Linked DNA regions of Tamandua tetradactyla. The protein of the gene in region 1 purifies or fractionates together with the protein of each later gene. This does not show direct contact. Links are inferred from orthologs where the notes say so. Each region holds a gene or a part of one and is shown in the gene's direction. Other genes may lie near its edges.

Region 1 (7,451 bases):
CAGAGGCGTGGCTGGCCCCGCGGCTTGCGGCAGAAGTGCCAGCTGACTCCCTAGGTCCCAGATCCTCCCTTGCCCAGGCAGGACCCCCCCACCCCAGCACAGCGGCCCTTCCCCTCGCTCCCCGGACTTCCCCGCCCCACTCACAGCACTCCTGCTCTCCCTTTCCTCCCCATACCCCCCAGACCTGTGCTTGGCCGGGGCGAGTCAGGGCTCTCCTGTCAGCTGGGCCCCCTCCAGGCCTTGGGAGGCCGCCACTGGAGCCCTGCCTCTTCCTGGCAGGGAGCATCGAGTACAGCTGTCCGGCCTCCAATGAGTGCGAGATCACCAAGCGGAGACGCAAGGCCTGCCAGGCCTGCCGCTTCACCAAGTGCCTGCGCGTAGGCATGCTCAAGGAGGGTGAGCACGGGGCAGGGGGGGCCTGGGCCAGGCTTGGGGGGAGCTGGGCTTGCAGGGCCCTTGCTGGGCAAGGCTTAGGAAGGGCTGGTGGCCAAGGGACTAAGGAGGAGGGCTCTGCAGAGCCACCCTACAGACACGGTCCCATTTTACACTTTAGGGGTGCGTCTGGACCGTGTGCGGGGCGGACGACAGAAGTACAAGCGGCGACCAGAGGTGGACCCGCTGCCTTTCCCGGGTCCCTTCCCTGCTGGACCACTGGCAGTAGCTGGGGGTCCCCGGAAGACAGGTGAGAGCGCTGTGGGTACCTGGAGCTCTAGGGTTAGGATCGGGCTGGGGCATGAGAAGCCTGTCTGGCATCATCTACCCAGGAGAGTTATTACCTTGGGCCCTAGGACCCACATTTCGCCTTCATTCATTTATTCATTTCTCCAAGAAATATTTATTTAAAGGCCTTTCCTGCCTCAGGCACAGAGAAACATAGGAGGGAACTGGGAAGGGTTTTCTAATACTCATAGAGCCAGTCCCCAGCCTTTCCCTGGGAAGTAGTGAGAGCCTTGCCTTTGGGGGATGGATTTGAGCCAGGCTGCCCAACGGCTATCAGGGAAGGCCACTAGGAGAATGAACAAGAGGCTTGACTCTGAAGGGACTGTGATGTCTGATGAATTTGAGTGCCCCTGACCCTCGTCCTCCGACTTGTCACTGCAGCCCCAGTGAATGCACTGGTGTCTCACTTGCTGGTGGTTGAGCCCGAGAAGTTGTATGCCATGCCCGACCCAGTGGGTCCTGACGGACACCTCCCAGCTGTGGCTACCCTCTGTGACCTCTTCGATCGAGAGATTGTGGTCACCATCAGCTGGGCCAAGAGCATCCCAGGTAAAGAGCTCAGGTGGTCTGAGGGCTCCCCTGTGCAGGCCATGCTTGGCCCCAGGCACGCTTGCTCAGCCTGGCTGCCCACCCCCACCCTCCAGGCTTTTCGTCTCTGTCGCTGTCCGACCAGATGTCAGTACTGCAGAGCGTGTGGATGGAGGTGCTGGTGCTGGGCGTGGCCCAGCGCTCGCTGCCGCTGCAGGATGAGCTGGCCTTCGCGGAGGACTTGGTCCTGGATGAAGAGGGAGCACGGGCAGCTGGCCTGGGGGAGCTGGGGGCTGCCCTCCTGCAACTGGTGCGGCGGCTACAGGCCCTGAGGCTCGAGCGGGAGGAATACGTTCTGCTGAAGGCCCTGGCCCTGGCCAACTCGGGTGAGAGTCTGGAGCAGGCACTGATAGGTCTCTCCATTGGGCCCTCTGGTCTTTAACTCTGATAGCACAGCCCGTTCTGCAGATAAAGGAAACTGCAGCTCAGGGAACAGTGACTTCCTGAAGGTCACGAAGTAAGCCAAGGGCAAGGCCAAGAATCTGAGCCTTAGTACTGTGCTCACTTGGAAGGGAGTACAGTTTAGTGGGAGGTGAAGTGGGGAGGACTGGAGGCAGCTATAGGTGAGGACAGATGGCCCCTGCTCTTTCTGGAGATGGTGCAAGTCAACAGTTCTCTCCCCTCTGCTTACAGACTCTGTGCACATCGAGGACGCTGAGGCTGTGGAGCAGCTGCGAGAAGCCCTGCATGAGGCCCTGCTGGAGTATGAAGCTGGCCGGGCAGGCCCTGGAGGGGGTGCTGAGCGGCGACGGGCAGGCAGACTGCTGCTCACCCTACCGCTCCTTCGCCAGACCGCGGGCAAAGTGCTGGCCCATTTCTATGGGGTGAAGCTGGAGGGCAAGGTGCCCATGCACAAGCTGTTCTTGGAGATGCTCGAGGCCATGATGGACTGAGGCAGGGGGAGGGTGTGGGTGGGTGGGGGTGCTGGCAGGACCCGCCCAGCATGGGTTCAACCCCAAGGGGGCAGAGCTGGGGTCTGGGCAGTGCCACAGCCTGCTGGCAGGGCCAGGGCAATGCCATCAGCCCCTGGGAGCAGGCCCCACGCCCTCCCCTCCCCACTCCCAGGGGGCGTCAGAAGCTGGGGATGTGTGTGCCCGGGCTCTGGGCACAGTGCTGCCCCTTGCAAGCCATAATGTGCCCCCAGACTGTCGGGGGCCTTGCGGAAGCCATAGGGGGTGCAGGGGAATTGTGGGGGGCAGAAGCCTGATCTCAGGGAGGGAAGGGGGTGGAGGCCACAGTCTCCCAGTGGGTGATGCTTTTGCTGCTACTTAATCCAACCCCCTCTACAGAGCAGAGTGGGACTTGGAGAGCAAAGGCCCCTGCCCCCTTCGCTCCTCTCCTCATCATTTGCGTTGGGCACTGTTGCCCACCCCCCTTGAAGCAATAACTCCAAGCAGGCTCCAGCCCCTGGACCCCCTAGGGTGGCCAGGGTCCCCCATCAGCTCCCACCCAGCCTCCTCAGGGGGAGGGAGAGCACTGCCTCGATGCCCTGCAGAGCAATAACACTATATTTATTTTTGGGTTTGGCCAGGGAGGCGCAGGGACATGGGGCAAGCCAGGGCCCAGTGCCCTTGGCTGTACAGAGACTCTATTTTAATGTATATTTGCTGCAAAGAGAAACCGCTTTTGGTTTTGAACCTTTAATGAGAAAAAATATATATAATATCAAGCTCAAGAACACAGTGTGTTCAGTGTGTCATTGGGTCGAGGGCTGGACATGAACATGACAGTTAACAATGTACAGACATAAAGAATGTCACAGAATGATCAGCTGGTCCGTGCCTGGCATGGCTAGGTCTAGGTTTCCTCCTCACTCAGCAGCATGTTGGGGATCCCGCGACTGATGGGGAACAGACGTCCAGATTCTGGGCATTGCAGAGTGCCCTCCAACACATCCACCTGTGGGCAGAGGGAAAACAGCTGAACACCTGGGCCCTAAGGGAGGGGTGGCATGGCCGGGAAAGCAAAGTGTGAGCCGGTTCTCACCTCTAGCAACACGTGGTGCATCTTCCTCAAAAATGTCTCATCTCGCTCATACCCCTCAACTGGTCCCTTGGGCACCTCGACCAGATGCAACTGTGGGCAAGAAGCCTAAATCATCTCCGGCCATCCCCGACCCTCCCCATCAGGCCGAGCTCCCGGGCCGGGTGTGAGAGGGTGCGGTGAGACCACCTCCCCCGCTAGGCACAGGCGGGGTGGGGGGAGGGTCCTCACAGTATCGGCCGCCTCCAGAAGCGCTGCCCACTCCACCTTGGGTATCATACGCGCTACGAAGTCCGGGTTGAACTCCACCGGGTTGATGCGGACCTCGGTGGCCTGCAGTGGGAAGAGATTAGTTAGAAAGGGGATCGGACTCTGATATCCGCAGCTCACCCGGGAGAGGGGCGTGGGTCTGCGCGGATCGGTACCTGGAGACGCAGGGGGAAGCCACGGGGCCCCACCCCCCGCACGTGAGAGCTTAGCAGGTTGTGAGTGAGCAGCTTCATGTCGCGGCTAAACGTCCTACCCAGGCAGGAACCGGAAATATACCGCCCCGCCAAAACGTCACTTCCGGGACGGTGCCGCTAGCTAGCCTATCGGGCGGCCAAAAGACCGGAAGCAGCGAAACTGCTGTCAGGGCTCGTGCTCGGCCAAGCAGAGACATAGGGAAGACCTGGTTCAGTCACGCGCTGCTCCCGGAAGCGGCTCCGCGGGAGATCGTTATGTCGCACGCCGCCTAGTGGTTTGGTTGAAGCCAAACCTTCACCCGCTATCGGGATGCAAATTATATGTAAAACAGCTGCAGTGCAGGGAACCTCGTTAAATGTCAGATAGACATGCGTTTTGCTTGTGCACGGGCTCCTGACACCAGCCCTCCCCTTCTAATGAGGTGCGCTATTGCCCCAACTATAAATGAGGCCCCTCAAAATAAAGCGGCACCCCATCCTTGTCTGCAAAGAACCTGCAGGATCGTCGCGAGCTACGCCCACTGAGAGGGGGAGAAGGTATCAGCGACCCAGCCCCTAATGCAAACAAGCCCTGAATCCCGGAAGCCCGGCCCGCAGCGCGGCCGTCCACGCCTGCGCAGTGAGGGCGTTTCGCTGGGGGCCGGGCGCGGCCGAGGCTCCGCCTTCTGCGGCCGGCGCGGCTCCGCCCCCGCCGGGGTCGAAGGGGCGGTCGCGGCCGTGGCGCCCGGCGAGTGGCTGCGTATGCTGCGCCTTGTGGGGCGCCGCGCGAACTCCGCGCTCCCTCGGGCGACCGCCGTCGAGTTTACCCGAGCGGTAGCGGTGGGAACGGGCCTACGCCTGGAAGGAGGAGGAGGGTGCACGTGCGGTTTCAGCAGCGCCGCCGCAGCCATGGCGCCGATTAAGGTGACCGTCGGCCCCGTCAGACCTGACCCCCCCATCTTCCCGAGGCCGTCCCTCGTCCCGCTCCGGTGGGGAAGGTGGGGTCCTCTCTCCCGCCCTCCGGAGCCCTCTCCGCCGCCCCAGAGGTCCCTCCCGCGGTCCAGCCCCTTCACCCCCTCATCGAGACACCCGTGACTGCCACCCCCTCTCGCCAAGTTTTGGGACCTCGTGCAGGATCTCCTGGAACAGCCTCCGGGCTCTGGACCCTCCCCCCTCGATTCCCGCTGCGTGTCGACTGCGACACTGCTGTGGTCTCCGCCATTTTCCGCTGTTTGAATGCCGTGGCCTTTCCCACCTTCTGGAAACCAACCATCTCCGTTGCCCCAGAACCCTCTTTACCCCGCCGCGCCACCCTCCCCTCCCTTTTGTCATATTGCTTGGATCACTCTTAATCGTATGGAACAGCTGTCAGCCCTTTGAGCCCTCGTTTTGTCTCCCCATGCCACTCCGATTTCCCCTCCTCCTCCTCCCGAGGCGATCCCCCACACTTCAGTTGAGTCTCTCCTCCCGCCCATCTTCTGGAGCTGTCCCCCACTCCTTGGAACTCAACCCCCTCTTCCCCTCCCACACCCTTCCGAGGCCCTTCGCCTTGTTTCACCATCCTCCAACCTACTGAGAGATCCTCCATCTCTCAGCCTCCCTTCCTCCTATCTTTACCTCCTCCATCCCCATGGAGCCCTCTCACATTCCCAGATGCACTGATCCCTCCCCCTTAAGAGATTCCTTTCATTTTACCCCCCTTGCATAGGGCCGGGATCTTCCCCTTCCCACCTTGTTACTGCCCTCCTGCCTTCCTTCCTTTTCTCCATGGCTGGCCAGGATCCATGCTTTCCCTGTTGTCCAGTATTCCTTCCAACCCAACAACCCCCTTCCCCCCTGCTTCTCCTCCCCTTGCGGGTTTGGCCCCACTCTTCTCCCATAACCCTTACAACTTGTTGACTCAATCCCTTGCGACACCGTGCAAGGCCTTCTCTCCCTTTCTTTGGTGTCACCAATGGATCCTTATGAGGGGACAGGGCCTCACTGACCCCTGGAGGATATGGGGCAACCAGGCGGGTGAGAGTCGGGGGGAAGGGGAGGGCAGCAGGGAGGGACCTCTGGAAACTCTGACAGGGCTGGACTTTTTTTCCCCCCGGGCTCTGCCAAGCACAGCCACCAGACCTCCCCCCATTCCCTCCTGGCTCTGGTTTGCTGCTGTCCCTCCTTGGGCCTCCCCCCACCTCTCAACTCCTAACCTTGGAGCCCTTCCCTCTAGGTGGGCGATGCCATCCCACCGGTGGAGGTGTTTGAAGGGGAGCCTGGGAACAAGGTGAACCTGGCGGAGCTGTACAGAGGCAAGAAGGGAGTGCTGTTTGGAGTCCCCGGGGCATTTACCCCGGGCTGCTCCAAGGTGAGGCCCTGCCCTTCTTGAGATTAGGAATCTGGATCTTTTGAAAATGTTTGCATTGCTTTTAAGTCCTTCACATATCCCTCCAAAGGCCTGAGGCGGCTTGCCACCAAGGAACCTAGGTAGCCTGAGAGTAAAAAAAAGCTATGTTTAGAGTGTTCAGAAAGTAAGTGGAGGCTGCAGAAAGGTAACCACAAGGAATGTAGGAGAAAGGAATTATTGTGATTAAGCTCAATACCCCCTTGTTGACCCTGCTGAGTGGCAGGTACTCTGAAAGGCAAATAATCCAGGTAAATAATCCATGTTTCTATGACTCCCAGGGGTGTGGACCTTCCTGGCAACGTGACACAGAAATCCCAGAATGAGCTGGAACTCAGCATCAAGGGACTGAGAAAATCTTCTCAACCAAAAGGGGGAAGAGTGAAATGAGACAAAATAAAGTGTCAATGGCTGAGAGATTCCAAACAGAGTTGAGAGGTTATCCTGGAGGTTATTCTTGCATTAAGTAGATATCACCTTGTTATCCAAGATGTAACAGAGAGGCTGGAGGAACCTGCCTGAAAATGTAGAGCTGTGTTCCAGTAGCCATGTTTCTTGAGGATGATTGTATAATGATATAGCTTTCGCAATGTGACTGTGTGATTGTGAAAACCTTTATCTGATGCTCCGTTTATCTAACTTATCAACAGAAGAGTAAAAAACATGTGGAATAAAGATAAGTAATAGGGGGAACAAATGTTAAAATAAATTTAGATTGAAATGCTAGTGATCAGTGAAAGGGAGGGGTAAGGGGTATGGTATGTATGATTTTTTTTCTGTTGCCTTTTTATTTCTTTTTCTGAATTAATGCAGATGTTCTAAGAAATGATCATGATGATGAATATGCAACTATGTGATGATATTGTGAATTACTGATTATATATGTAGAATGGAATAATCATAAATTAAGAACGTTTGCATTTGTTTGTTGTTACATATATTTTTTTAAATTAAAAAATTGAAAAAAAAATCCGTGGTCCTGACCCCACAACCTTAAGTTTGGATCTGAGCTTCCTTGTGGCCAAGGCAAACAAGGAAATAGGTTGGTTTACATAGTTTTCGTTGATTAAAGGAGTCAAAGCAGGGAAGTTAGGGGGGCCTGAAGATCATTCCTTGTTGACCCTTAGTTTCTCCTCCCCAGACGCACCTGCCGGGGTTTGTGGAGCAGGCTGGGGCTATGAAGGCCAAGGGCATCCAAGTGGTGGCATGTCTGAGTGTCAATGATGTCTTTGTGACTGGCGAGTGGGGGCGAGCCCACAACGTGGATGGCAAGGTAAGGTGCAGGGGTCCTGAAGGGGCTCAGGGCCCAAGCAGGAGATTTTTCTGGTGAC
Region 2 (7,059 bases), on another chromosome or scaffold:
CCCCTTCACCTCAGGGCACTCAATGCAAGGAATCTGTTTTCCTCTGGTCACTCAATCCTCACCTTTCCCACTTAAATTGTGAGTTTTCCAAATTTAATTTCCACTATTATTAGGAAATGTTGAAATTTACATATTACAGAGATGACTGCGTCTGCTGGGTGGGGCTCAGACCAAAGGGAAGTAACACTGGTGGTAGAGGGGCCATGGAGGAGGCCAGGACAGGCATCCCAGCAAGGGGGAAGTCCTGAGCGAGGACAGAGGCTGAGGACAAGTAGGCAGAGATGAGATTTGTTCTGGACACTGAGCATTTAGGATTGGAGGGTAGGTTAGATGGGAGAGTGAGGGGCTGGGGGCTCCAAGGTAGTTCTCAGTGAAGCCTGCAGTTTGGAGCAGGGACAGGAGAGGATGTCAACAGCAAACATTCAGACATTCATGAGGCACTTGTAATGCATCTAATGCTCAATCTGCGTTTTTTACCCCCATTTTATCCTGAGGTGGGAGCAATCCAGGTATCAGAGTAGTTCTGATTGATACCTGTCAGCAGATTCACCTGGGAGACTTTCACACCCTGGTCCAAGGCGTACTGCACCAGCCCGGCGGCTGCATCGTGGGACAGGGAGTTCAGGTTGTACTTGACCCTGAGGTAGGGGACACAGCCTGGTTAACCCCTTTCCAGCCAAAGGGCCCAGTGAGCAAGTGCTCTCTGCCTCCCTCAGGGCGTTGGCTGCCCCTCCATCCCGCCCCTCCCAGGGGACCCCTCACCGCCCGAGCATGCTGGTAGAGATGAGGTTTGGAGACAGTACATCCAGTGCCCAGCCCACAAAGTCCCCGTCCTCCTCTATTTTCGCAAACAGCCTGTCCCGCTCGCTCTCCGACAGGGTCTTTGAGTCTGGGAGGAGGATTGGGAGAGAAGGAGGGCGCTGGTTCTCCAGGTTCCTGCCCTCTTCCTCCTCCTCCTCCACCAGTTTCCACACGCCCCGGAACCGCCCGATCCCCGCCCCCCACCACCCCAGACTCACCTGCCACTTTCAGGGCCTCCAGATCTGCCAGACGGGACACGGGGCAATAACAGATGGCGTAGACCATGGGGCCTGGAGAGGAAGGGGGTCAGATTTCTGGGCGAATCCAAGCAGTGAGCTCCTCAAAGCGCTCATCCCTGTTCCATCACCGCTCTTTTCGCCCACCGGTTCATGTCACGGCCGCCATCATCATCGCCATCACCGGCCCTCCTGGGTCATGGGCGAAGCGCACCCCATTATCGCGCCCCTCCCCCACCCCCGGGCCCCGGGGGCGCACCCAGCACGGGGCCCCGGCCTGCTTCATCGACGCCCAGGGCGCAGGGCTCCTTGCGGCACACTGCGGGCACCGGCGAGCTCACGCGACAGCGGCCCGTATTGTCTCTCTCCAGCTCACTGAGATCCATACCGCCGCCGCCTGGGCCACAGCCTCCAGCGGCGGGAAGAGGGCGTGTCCGCGCAGCTCTCGGCGCTCTTCTGGCGCGCTCGCTCCCGACCAATCAGCGCGCAGGACACGCCCCCGACGCCGTCCAGCAGACGCCGTCGCCGCCACGTGGCTTCCTGGGAATTGTAGTTTCTGAGGCCGACCGCGGAACACTCAGGTTGAGACGCGGGATGGGCGGGGCCACTTTCCAAGCCCCGCCCCGGGGACTCCGAAGCCCGGACGGCGGGGTCTGGTGCCAGGAGAAGGAAACTGAGGCGGGGACATGAAAAGACCCGGCCCTTTCGGAGCCTACAAGACCAGATACCACTAGCTTCCAGAACAAAGGGTCACTCCACATTCACTGTGTTCCTGTCTCCTACCTGGACTCCGGGTCCCTGACGCCCCGCCCTCGGCCCAGCCCAAGCCCCCTGGACTAGGTATCGCTGCCCCTTCCTGGGCTCAGGCCTTCGAATTGTGGCCCTTACCCTTCCTCTCTCAGTCGCTCACTCGGATCCACCCTCCTCCCCCACAGTCCCTGCCCCCCTACCCTCTCGTTTGGGCTAAGCCTCCCGGACCCCCAAATTAGGATCCCAGACCCCAATTACCAATCCTGGCTCAAGGTCGACGCCCGCCTGCTGCAGGCTGATAACCCCAAATCGGGTTTCTCCTTCACCCCCCGCGTCTCAGCGGGGCTCAGAGCCTTGGACCCTAGGCCACCGCCCCTGAACCTCAGGGTCCTGGTTCCCCCGTCCTCGCCCCCATTGACTGTCTTCCCTTCTCCCCAGGTGTCAGTGGGGTGCACGCCTTCTGTCTGTGGATCCCCAATCCTCACCCCTGAACCTAATGCCCCTGGACTTGACAGTCCCCTCCTGGCCTGTCCTCTCCACGCCCTTCTCTCACCCGGCCTCAGGGCCTCCAATGGCACTGGTCCTGCTGGCAAGATGGACAGTCCCGTTGCCGGCAAGGCCGCACCTGCACCAGGTTCTCTCGGTCCATGAACACTGGGCCTGGCGCCGTGCCCACCACCTCCCGGCTGCGCTCCTGCTTCCCCAGGTCGCAGACACAGCGCCACTTTCCCCACGGGCTCAGGATCGAGTCTTCCAGGTCTGGGGGAAAGGGCCGAGAAAAAGACCCAGGTTTGTGTTTGGGGGTGGGGCGGGGGGGGGGAGGACCTACCTGCCTCTACCCTCCTCTGGGGCGGAGGCAAAAAAGATACTAACAAATAACCCCAGCTCATATCTGTTCCTGGGGCTCTGCCTCTGACCAGTTCCTCTCAATCTTCCCAGCAATCCTGATGGAGAGGGATGGCCACTAGTCCCAGGTGGGGAAACTGAGACCTAGAGAGGGCAAGTCACCCTTCTGAGCTCACCCATCTGCTGAGCGGCCCAGGGGGACTGCAAACTGACACTTCCGACCTGTGCCAGCTTGCCCCGTTGGGAGTGTGGTAGAAGACCCTCAGTGCTGGCTATTGGGACACCTGTCCAGCAGGCACCATGCCACCAGACCAGCAGGGCTGTCAGATGGTAAATTAAATGACATAATCAAATGACAGAATGAGGATACTTAAAGCCTCTGGCGCTGTTCTAGCACACAGAACAAAAACAATTATGATTCTTTTAAAGCAGCTGCCACTTCTTATGGACTTACCAGATAGAAACCTGTCACCAGTCTTAAACCCACGGCCTGCTCACAGGGCCTTGACACCTCATTTGTTCCCTACCATCTCTTCTTCTCTAGGTCTCTGCCACCCTAGCCCTTTTCCTTTCCCTGCCCTCTTTTGGGCCTTTTGGCTTTTGCATTTTTGGGTCCCTCTCCCTGGCATACCATTCTTTCCCCACTCACCCTCCCAAGGCATCTTTGCATCTTTGGCCTTGGCTTCATAATGGATTTCTATCTCCTCCACCGGGACCTCTTCTGACTTTTCAAGCTGATCTCCAGCTTCTTTCTCCATCCCCGCCCTCCTAGCTCTTTTACCCACAACAAATTCACGTGCATCTGCTTTTATTGCCGGCCCACGCCCCCTCTCCAGCTATGAGCCGCTTAAAAGGCAATCTCCTTTCCAATTGACAGATGGAAAAACAGCCTCAGAGAGAAGTAACCAGCCCAATCAGACGCAACCAGTGTGGTGAGCCCAGCCGGGATCTGCCGTCCCGGGGAAAGCAGGGGTGAGGGGGGCACCTCTAGGCGCCCTCACCCCGGCCGCCCTGCGGTTACCTTTTTCCTGCTGCTGCTGCCGCAGCTGCTCCCAGATGTCGCCTTCGCCTTGCTCGCCAAAGTACTGGTAGTCCGGGGAGCCCTCGGAGGGGGTTGCCAGCAGCTGGAGCGCCAGGGGCAGCAGTAGCAGCAGCAGCGCCGCCCGCCTTCGGGCCATGCCGAGCTCCAACCGCCCGCGGCGCGCTCGGGGCTGGAGCCCCGCGCCGTGCCCGCGCTACCCCCGCGGATCCGCACAGTGGTCGGGCCCGGAGGCTGCATGTCTCCCCTCCACCACCACCACCACCCCCTGCCGCTCGCGGGCATATGGACCCGGCCACCCGCTCGCTCTCCACCCCCCACCGAAACCGGCGCAGTGGACGCGGCGGCTCAGCTCATCTTCACCCCCCCCGCGCGCGTCATGGTTCCGGCCGGGCATAAAAGGCCTGGCAGCCCTGCGCGCACTTGGGGCTGAGAAATCCGAGGCCGCGCTTCTGCTGCGTCCGTGCGTCCCGCCCGTGTCCACGCAGGTACCGCCACCCCGGGTGCACCGGGCTCGGGAAGGAGCCCCTTCCCAGCCGCCCCCGCCGGAATCCGGACCGATCGCTGGCCGCCCTTTGTTTTCCGCCCTCTGCAGCGGCCGCCTTTGTCCTTGCAGGGGAAACCGAGGCCGGGCGGCCGGAGTCCCCGCCCCCTGCTCGCGGGGGCCCTTGCCGTCTCCTCCCGGCACTGGGTGGGGACCCCGCAGCCACCGCGCTCCCTCCGACGCGCGAACTGGGGACCCGGCGGTAGCGGCCAGGCCGCACGTGCCGCGGTCAAGGGGGCCGGGTCCCCAGCAGCCTCGGGGCCGCGCAATACCCGGTACCGGGGAGGGAGGGGGTCACCGCTGCCGGCTGCGCCGCTCTCGCTCGGTCTCCGCGGTCCGCACGCAGTGTGACCTTGGGAAAGGAGGACAAAGGGGCCTCCGGGGCGCGCTGACCCGGCTGGGGGTGGGGCGTGGGGGTCTCAGCTTTCAGCCATGGCCTCCGGCCACGCGCACATCGGGAAGCCCGCCCCGGATTTCCACGCCACGGCCGTGGTGGACGGCGCCTTCCAGGAGGTGAAGCTTTCGGACTACAGAGGTGAGGGACCCCAGGTGCGGGTGGGGCCCGGGCAGAAGGAGGCCTGGGCCTTAACGCGCGACCTCTCCACTCCCACCCCCAACCCAGGGAAGTACGTGGTCCTTTTCTTCTACCCCTTGGACTTCACCTTCGTTTGTCCCACCGAAATCATCGCTTTCAGCGAGCGTGCCGGGGACTTCCGCAAGCTGGGCTGCGAGGTGCTAGGAGCCTCTGTCGATTCCCAGTTCACCCACCTAGCTTGGTAGGAGCCGGGACTGGGGGGAGGGGGAGGGTGGGGCGCAACTAGGTTCCCATCCTAGCGTCGTCCGTGCTGGCCTCGCCGTTGCTCAACCTCTTACCCTCCCTTTCACCACCTTGAGAATCACGGAAATTATTTCCATGGAAAACACCCTGGTCATTAAGGATTGCTGACAGCAATGAGCATGTGGAAACGAGCTGCTTGGCTTGGGAGTTGCACATGCTTTTTTTCCCTATAGTCCCTGGGAGGAAGGCGGGATTGCCTTAGTACTTGAAGGTGGAAAGTCCAGTTCCAGGAAGGGAAGGAGGATGGAGATGTGATGGCAGGATCCCTGCCTCAGGCTGGAGGCCATGAGGATGCCTAAAGAGGATTTGCTGGAGCATAAGCCTGCACATGAGTGCAGGGGCTTTAGTCTTCCCAGCTGTGGGAAACAGCTCCTGCACCCAGTTCAGGGTGGGGTGGGTGGTACTCCCAGGGCCCCAATATCTCCTGCCTCCAGCATCCCACTCCAGCCCTTATCACCCAGGCGCAAAGGGTAAGGATCTCACTGTGTGGGACCTCCTGAGGCCCCAGCCCTGTCTCCCCCACCCCCAGGATCAACACCCCGCGGAAAGAGGGAGGCTTGGGCCCGCTGAACATCCCCCTGCTGGCTGACGTGACCAGAAGCCTGTCCCATGATTATGGGGTGTTGAAGGAAGATGAGGGCATTGCTTACAGGTACTGAGGGACCCTCCCCCACCCTCAGGGAGCCCCCTTCCCATTTCCCCTCTATCCCCAGCTCTGTGGCTGGAGGTGGTCCATGCTCCCTCCAGCTCCTGGCCACAGGGAGTGTCCCAGCTCCTCACTACTGAACCCTGATGTCTTCAGGGGCCTGTTTATCATCGATGGCAAGGGAATCCTTCGTCAGATCACAGTGAATGACTTGCCCGTGGGACGCTCCGTGGAAGAGGCCCTACGCCTAGTCCAGGCCTTCCAGTACACGGATGAGCATGGCGAAGGTGAGTGGACACACAGAGAGCCTCTCAGTGGCTCTTGCAAACAATCACTGCCTGCCCTATCACCTGAGCAGGGGTAGGGGCATGTTAGGGCCCCCAAAGAAGGTTCAGCTCAAGGAGTTTCTAGTCTGGTGGAGGAGATGCCTCCTTGTAAGGGTGCGCAGCTGGGAGGTCATAGGGAACCATAGAAGGTATTCGAGGTTGCATATAGCACATTAGGCTTGGGGTATGTTAGTTGGATCCTGGTTAAAGAGTCTGAATGTAGATGCTCAAGTCCAGTAGCACTGGGGCTGAGGGTGAGACATGGGGTTGAAAACACCAAAAAGCAAGTGAGAATAAGAGAAGGAAAATGATGAGGCAGAAGATACTGCAGCTGGGCCTGTGAGGATAAACAGGTGCTTGGAGGGTGATGGGATGGGGCTTCTCTTTTTGAGCCTGGACCAATTGGTTCTTAGGTTTTTCTACTGCAACTCAGGCCCTTGCTTTGTATCTGTTCCTCCCTCCCCCCTGCCTCTACCTGGAAAATGGGGCTGTAGGCTCACACATCAGTTCTCATGTCTTCCACAGTCTGTCCCGCGGGCTGGAAGCCGGGCAGCGACACAATCAAGCCCAACGTGGATGACAGCAAGGAATACTTCGCCAAGCACAACTAGGCCAGCAGGCGGGTGAAGCTTGGGCCCTCTGCCCTCAGCCACGCCGCTGCCTGGGTGCCCAGTGCTGACCCTAGGAAAGACCCCTGTAGCTTCCCGGTTTGGGGCCCCAAGGTTCTTCTGATGCCCCCACCTGGGACCTGAGAAATCCCCTCTGCCCAGATCCCACTCAGCTGGGCACAGGCTTGGGGGGAACCAATAAAGTGTTAGGGACAGATGTGAGTGTGTCTGGGTGTGTTAGTCTGTCTTCCCCTCCCCCTGCCCCACCCCCACCAAGTGGTGTCTCAGGCCTCCTGTCTGGGAAACTGATCCTGTAGTTATTTACCGCCACCACAAGGTGGCAGCCTTACTTCATGCTCCCTCTACTTGTTCTTCCTTGGCAGGAGGGGGGACTGGGGGAACTGGGGTGTTTGCCCCTTGCAGGG

What was found.
Region 2: the proteins of PRDX5 (region 1) and PRDX2 fractionate together in Homo sapiens (co-fractionation; 3 studies listed by BioGRID). This does not show direct contact. The link is inferred for Tamandua tetradactyla from reciprocal best matches to the Homo sapiens genes PRDX5 and PRDX2.

What each region holds. Positions count from the first base shown.
Region 1 is NC_135335.1:10,339,140-10,346,590, reverse strand, and holds the start of PRDX5 (peroxiredoxin-5, mitochondrial), read left to right. Parts: upstream 1-4,438; 5' UTR 4,439-4,496; coding exon 4,497-4,658; intron 4,659-5,949; coding exon 5,950-6,084; intron 6,085-7,261; coding exon 7,262-7,393; intron 7,394-7,451. Other genes in the region: ESRRA (steroid hormone receptor ERR1), read left to right, coding at 280-396, 554-682, 1,102-1,269, 1,365-1,634, 1,942-2,201; TRMT112 (multifunctional methyltransferase subunit TRM112-like protein), read right to left, coding at 3,106-3,207, 3,295-3,384, 3,523-3,624, 3,717-3,794. UniProt on the Homo sapiens protein: Thiol-specific peroxidase that catalyzes the reduction of hydrogen peroxide and organic hydroperoxides to water and alcohols, respectively.
Region 2 is NC_135337.1:89,828,739-89,835,797, forward strand, and holds PRDX2 (peroxiredoxin-2), read left to right. Parts: upstream 1-4,028; 5' UTR 4,029-4,160; intron 4,161-4,639; 5' UTR 4,640-4,648; coding exon 4,649-4,751; intron 4,752-4,838; coding exon 4,839-4,992; intron 4,993-5,583; coding exon 5,584-5,706; intron 5,707-5,856; coding exon 5,857-5,987; intron 5,988-6,551; coding exon 6,552-6,637; 3' UTR 6,638-6,851; downstream 6,852-7,059. Other genes in the region: ribonuclease H2 subunit A, read right to left, coding at 551-638, 763-889, 1,020-1,091, 1,297-1,423.